Linked DNA regions of Saccharomyces cerevisiae S288C. Changing the gene in region 2 together with the main gene of any one other region gives a genetic interaction. Each region holds a gene or a part of one and is shown on either strand. Other genes may lie near its edges. The genes, in order: PRM15 and MGP12.

What was found.
Region 1: mutations in MGP12 (region 2) and PRM15 together harm fitness more than expected from each alone (negative genetic interaction), as found in Saccharomyces cerevisiae (one large-scale study listed by BioGRID).

Annotation. Positions count from the first base shown.
Region 1 is NC_001145.3:820,733-825,294, forward strand, and holds PRM15 (phosphoribomutase PRM15), read left to right. Parts: upstream 1-2,030; coding exon 2,031-3,899; downstream 3,900-4,562. Other genes in the region: FCP1 (protein serine/threonine phosphatase), read left to right, coding at 1-1,722; ATR2 (Atr2p), read right to left, coding at 3,997-4,562. UniProt on the Saccharomyces cerevisiae protein: Major phosphoribomutase that converts ribose 1-phosphate to ribose 5-phosphate. Involved in ribose salvage via the pentose phosphate pathway.
Region 2 is NC_001136.10:1,034,559-1,037,302, forward strand, and holds MGP12 (Mgp12p), read right to left. Parts: upstream 1,018-2,744; coding exon 673-1,017; downstream 1-672. Other genes in the region: ZIP1 (Zip1p), read left to right, coding at 1-505; inositol monophosphate 1-phosphatase INM2, read left to right, coding at 1,437-2,315; Smc5-Smc6 complex subunit NSE3, read left to right, coding at 2,637-2,744.

The DNA.
Region 1 (4,562 bases), on a different chromosome or scaffold from region 2:
AGAACAGGCAAGGCATTGAAGGAGCATTTGCGACGGGATAAGAAACTTATCTTAGTGGTGGATTTAGATCAAACCATCATCCATTGTGGCGTGGACCCTACGATTGCAGAGTGGAAGAACGACCCCAATAATCCGAATTTTGAAACATTAAGAGACGTCAAGAGCTTTACGTTGGATGAGGAGTTAGTACTCCCACTTATGTACATGAATGACGATGGTTCTATGCTGAGACCGCCTCCCGTAAGAAAATGTTGGTACTACGTGAAGGTAAGGCCCGGTTTAAAGGAATTTTTCGCTAAAGTGGCGCCTCTTTTTGAAATGCATATCTACACAATGGCTACAAGGGCTTATGCCTTGCAAATTGCCAAAATCGTGGACCCTACGGGCGAATTGTTTGGCGATAGAATTCTGTCGCGTGATGAAAATGGGTCTCTAACAACTAAATCATTAGCTAAACTTTTCCCCACTGACCAGTCAATGGTTGTAGTTATTGACGACAGAGGTGATGTTTGGAATTGGTGTCCAAACTTGATCAAAGTTGTTCCTTATAACTTCTTCGTTGGTGTAGGTGACATTAATTCTAATTTCTTGCCCAAACAATCTACAGGAATGCTACAACTAGGGAGGAAGACAAGACAGAAGAGCCAAGAATCTCAGGAACTGCTGACGGATATTATGGATAACGAAAAAAAACTACAAGAAAAGATAGATAAAGAAGTTAAACGCCAAGAAGAAAAATTGAACCATCAACTGGCGACTGCTGAGGAGCCTCCTGCGAACGAATCCAAAGAAGAGTTGACCAAGAAACTAGAATATTCAGCATCTTTAGAAGTCCAACAACAAAATCGACCCTTGGCCAAACTACAAAAACACCTGCATGATCAAAAACTACTAGTTGATGACGATGATGAACTATACTACTTAATGGGTACGCTATCAAACATTCACAAAACTTATTATGATATGCTCTCACAACAAAATGAGCCAGAACCAAATCTGATGGAAATCATACCAAGTTTGAAGCAAAAAGTCTTCCAAAATTGCTATTTTGTTTTTTCAGGATTAATACCCCTCGGGACCGATATTCAAAGGTCGGACATAGTGATATGGACGAGTACATTTGGTGCCACTTCCACTCCAGATATAGATTACCTGACGACACATTTAATCACCAAGAACCCTAGCACTTATAAAGCGCGTCTAGCGAAAAAGTTCAACCCACAGATTAAAATTGTTCACCCAGATTGGATATTTGAGTGTTTGGTAAATTGGAAAAAGGTGGATGAAAAACCCTACACGTTAATCGTGGACAGCCCCATCTCCGACGAGGAATTACAAAACTTTCAAACACAATTACAAAAAAGACAAGAATATCTGGAGGAGACCCAGGAACAACAGCATATGTTGACATCACAAGAAAATCTAAATTTATTCGCTGCTGGTACTTCATGGTTAAACAATGACGACGATGAAGATATTCCGGACACAGCTAGCGACGACGACGAAGATGACGACCACGACGACGAAAGTGATGACGAAAACAACTCGGAAGGCATTGACAGAAAGAGGAGCATCGAGGACAATCATGATGATACATCACAAAAGAAGACCAAGGCGGAACCTTCTCAAGATGGTCCTGTACAACATAAAGGAGAAGGGGATGACAACGAAGACAGCGATTCGCAGTTGGAGGAAGAGTTGATGGATATGCTGGATGATTAGCAGCTCAGATGCCGTATCTTTCCACACATTTTCCTCATTGGTCTTTGTACCTATAATTGTTCATATTATATATACGTTTGTAACAAATCGATAAATAGCAACAATATTTTTGCTTATTTTGATATCCTGAAATCCTTTTTTTTTTTTTTTTTTTTTTTTTTTTTTTTTTGATTTCATTTCGTTTTTTTTTTTTGAACATTATATATTGTATTGTTTTCTCCCTGTAGCGAGAACTAATTGATTCTTTCTCCTTTCCCCCTAAATACTCAACAGTACTCTCGAGCCATTAGCTGCTGCAATTTCAAAAAATGTTGCAAGGAATTTTAGAAACCGTACCATCTGACTTGAAAGATCCGATATCATTATGGTTTAAGCAAGACCGCAACCCAAAAACTATAGAAGAGGTCACCGCTCTCTGCAAAAAATCCGACTGGAATGAGTTACACAAAAGATTTGATTCTAGAATTCAGTTTGGCACTGCTGGTTTAAGATCGCAAATGCAAGCTGGCTTTAGCAGGATGAATACTTTAGTAGTCATACAAGCGTCTCAGGGATTGGCAACTTATGTAAGACAACAGTTTCCAGACAATTTGGTAGCTGTTGTGGGACACGATCATAGATTCCATTCTAAGGAGTTCGCTAGAGCTACTGCTGCTGCATTTCTTTTAAAAGGATTTAAGGTACATTATTTGAATCCTGACCACGAATTTGTTCATACCCCTTTAGTTCCCTTTGCAGTGGATAAGCTAAAGGCCTCCGTTGGCGTAATGATAACAGCAAGTCACAACCCAAAAATGGATAATGGATATAAAGTATACTATTCCAATGGATGCCAAATCATTCCACCTCACGATCATGCCATCTCTGATTCCATTGACGCAAATTTAGAACCATGGGCCAATGTGTGGGATTTCGACGATGTTCTAAATAAGGCTCTCAAACAAGGGAAATTGATGTATTCCAGAGAAGAAATGCTGAAGTTATATTTAGAGGAGGTTTCTAAAAATCTGGTAGAAATCAACCCATTAAAGCTTGAAGTAAAAGCCAAACCTTGGTTCGTTTACACTCCAATGCATGGGGTTGGATTTGACATTTTCAGCACCATCGTAAAAAAAACACTGTGCCTGGTAGAAGGTAAGGATTACCTATGTGTTCCTGAACAACAAAATCCAGATCCTTCTTTCCCAACTGTTGGATTTCCTAACCCTGAAGAAAAAGGTGCTTTAGACATTGGTATAAACTTGGCTGAAAAACATGACATTGACTTACTTGTTGCCAACGACCCTGACGCTGATAGATTCTCTGTTGCTGTTAAAGATATGCAGTCAGGCGAATGGCGACAACTAACAGGTAACGAAATCGGTTTTCTTTTTGCATTTTATGAATATCAGAAATATAAAAGTATGGACAAAGAATTTCAGCACGTTCATCCGTTGGCTATGTTAAATTCAACAGTGTCTTCACAAATGATAAAAAAAATGGCAGAAATAGAAGGGTTCCATTATGAGGATACATTAACAGGATTTAAGTGGATCGGAAATCGTGCCATACTCTTGGAAAAGAAAGGCTATTACGTTCCTTTTGGATTCGAGGAAGCAATAGGCTACATGTTTCCAGCAATGGAGCATGATAAGGATGGTATCAGTGCATCCATTGTCTTCTTGCAAGCCTACTGTAAGTGGAAAATAGACCACAATTTGGACCCGCTAAATGTCTTAGAAAATGGCTTCAAAAAATATGGCGTGTTCAAAGAGTACAATGGCTATTATGTCGTTCCAAATCCAACTGTTACAAAAGATATATTTGACTACATCAGGAATGTCTACACTCCTGAGGGCGCGTCATATCCTTCATCTATTGGTGAAGAAATCGAAGTACTTTACTATCGAGATTTAACCACTGGTTACCAATCGGATACCATAAATCATAAACCTACTCTACCCGTCGATCCTACATCACAAATGATAACAGTATCTGCTAGACCAAGTAACGGTAGTGAGAATGAGCATATCCGCTTCACTATTCGCGGGTCCGGAACAGAACCAAAACTTAAAGTATATATTGAAGCTTGCGCAAATGAAGAACAAAGAGCCTCTTTCTTGGCGAAATTGACTTGGAATGTGCTGAGACGTGAATGGTTTAGACCAGATGAAATGAATATAGTTACAAAATTTTGATACTATTTTAACCTATACATTAAGACCAAGCGACTTAAAGAATGCCATTATATTTGTTGTTTGTACCTACACTTATATCAATATACATTTAACTAGTTTATGCCTCCAAACTTCTATCTTCAGATTTTCTGTGTCGATTCCAAAGGTTTTCAAGCATGTAAGTCACACTAATCACAACACCAAGAGAAGCGAGCCCAACTCCCAGATATACAGCTGCTCGGTAACCTTTCAACAAATCATTGCCGCTTTTATTAATTTGGTGTTCAACAGTGCCTCCCATACCTAAACATAGAGACGCTGAATAATTAATAACGGTGTTTACTAATGATCCAGCCATACCTTGATACTGCATTGGAAGCCCGTCACTCAATATAATGGATGATGCCGGGAAGGACAGGTCCATACCAAAACATAAGATAGCCTGCATCGCAAAGTTCAACTTCCAATAGCTTTGTTCCACTGGCAATACACTAAACATTATGGAACCAGCGTCAAATGCCATTAGTGAAAAACATAGTAGTAGAGCTGGTCCTAATCTCTTGATAGAAAAGGCAACGAAGAATGCAGCCATGGATCCGAAAATTACGAAAACGAAATACGTACCTCCGGTCCAAACAGGACTGTAATGCCTCAAATTTAGTTGGAAGGAAACATAATAGAATG
Region 2 (2,744 bases):
TAACCTCGAAAGTTTGGAAGAAGTCACCAAAAATTTACAGCAAAAGGTGCAATCGCAAAAGAGGGAATTAGAACAGAAGATTAAAGAGCTAGAAGAGATAAAAAACCATAAACGGAACGAGCCTAGTAAAAAAGGTACACAAAATTTTACTAAACCATCAGATTCACCCAAAAAAAATGCTACGACGTCCAACTTATTTCCTAATAACTCTGCTGCCATTCACTCTCCTATGAAAAAGTGTCCTAAGGTGGATCATATAAGTAAGTCAAGAATTAATTCATCCAAAGAAACATCCAAATTTAACGATGAGTTCGATCTTTCTTCATCATCAAATGACGACCTAGAGTTAACCAACCCTTCCCCAATCCAAATTAAACCAGTGAGAGGAAAAATCAAGAAGGGTTCAAATTGCATGAAACCTCCAATTTCTTCAAGAAAAAAATTACTACTAGTAGAAGACGAAGACCAGTCATTAAAAATAAGCAAGAAAAGGAGAAGGAAATAGAGGATAATGGAAAATTTGAAATCGTTTTGTGCGAATACATTTCATTTTGTTCCCTGCGTAAGAAGTATGCATAGTAAAATTAGCGTAGATATAGTTTTTTGAGGTATATACTTATTCATAGCTTATAAATATTTACAGTGTTGTAACTCTAGTAAAAACAAAAGAGGTCATCTAGATTGCATTCTCCTTATTTTATCACTGATATCGTCTTCTTCAAGAAAGTGCAGGATCTTGGTGCACGACTTAGGATCACCAACTTTCTCAATATGAAGTACTGGTATGTCGAAGCAATATTCCTTCCACCATTTTGCGTTTCTTCGGTCAGTTATGTTGACTATCTCTAGTGAAACTGCTTTATTATGAAATTCCTTTCTTTCAAATACATCATCTATCACTTCCTTTGCTTGATCGCATAACCCACAATTAGGCTTTGAGAAGAAAGTTAATTTCACTCCAGCATCATGTAACAATACCCTCGAAGTATGTATAGAACAGCGGAACGCTCTCAACATGGTGATATGTTCCTTAAGTTTTATGTCTTACTGAATAATTACGAATTTCTGTTATGAATTAAACGAAACTTTACAATGCATCAACTCCGAACTCTCTACGGAAAGGTAACAACTTGCGCACATCATAGACCCATAAAGCGAAAAAAAGGGAAGTCAATCACAGTTATATTGACATTCCAAAGCCAGTAACTAAAAAACTACAAAAATGGATTCTCACAGTCATATTAAGTGACCTCTTATTATTTCCCTTAAAACGGTAATTCTTAATAAAGAACGTCAGTGTTCCGAGTGATAACGCCGTGAAGCACCCTGCTTCATTACATATGAAATCGTGGGGAGAAAAAATCGTGAAAACAATATAGAGAATAAGTGAAGTTGAAGCTCCACAAGCCCTTGTAAAGTAAACTTAGATTGAAGCGATGGTATTAACGAGGCAAGTACTAGAGGAAGTGGAGAACACATTTATTGAATTACTTAGGAGTAAAATAGGACCTCTCGTAAAATCGCACGCAGGAACAAACTTTTGTTCATATGATGATAAAGCAAATGGCGTAGATTTGGTAACTGCTTTAGACAAACAAATTGAATCTATAATCAAGGAAAATTTAACGGCCAAGTATCCCAGTTTCAAATTTATCGGAGAAGAAACTTATGTAAAAGGTGTCACGAAAATAACTAACGGCCCTACATTTATTGTTGATCCCATCGATGGTACTACTAATTTTATTCACGGTTACCCCTATAGTTGTACATCTCTAGGTTTAGCTGAAATGGGGAAGCCGGTTGTTGGTGTGGTTTTCAATCCTCACTTAAACCAACTATTCCATGCTTCCAAAGGCAATGGAGCTTTCTTAAATGATCAGGAGATAAAGGTTTCAAAAAGGCCATTGATTTTGCAAAAATCCTTAATTGCTTTAGAAGGAGGTTCGGAAAGAACTGAAGGTTCCCAAGGAAACTTTGATAAGAAAATGAATACTTATAAAAACTTACTAAGTGAGTCCGGCGCCTTTGTTCACGGGTTCAGAAGTGCAGGAAGTGCTGCCATGAACATATGCTACGTAGCGAGCGGCATGCTTGATGCTTATTGGGAAGGTGGCTGCTGGGCTTGGGATGTTTGTGCCGGTTGGTGTATTCTTGAGGAAGCAGGAGGAATAATGGTTGGCGGAAATTGTGGAGAATGGAACATTCCATTAGACAGAAGATGTTACTTGGCTATTAGAGGTGGATGTGAGTCGATGGAGCAGAAGCGATTTGCAGAATCGTTTTGGCCTCACGTTGCGGGTGAGTTAGAATACTAAATGCCCCCCTCAGGTGTCGTTAAATAAGCTACATCTAAGAAAAGTTTATATAGTACTTCACGCAATTCCTACTAGTATTTTTTTCCAGTACAGGACGATATCTTGAAGCAGCAACTTGATTTCACAGGTCACTTAGTGTGGGCTTCTGACTCAAGAATAGCAAGTATTACATGCATGCGGCCCTCTCCTTTAACAGCGCGATATACGTGAAGAAAAATTTCAATGAAGAGTAATGCGCTTATTATCAACTTCGATTGAAGGGGTCCTATATCAGTATGCTACAAGGGAAGGTTGTTCGATAAACATAAGCTTCTCATTAGCATGAGTTCTATAGATAATGACAGCGATGTGGATTTAACAGAAGATTTAGCCGTGGCCAAGATCGTTAAAGAGAATCCTGTAGCTAGAAAAATGGTTAGGTATATTTTA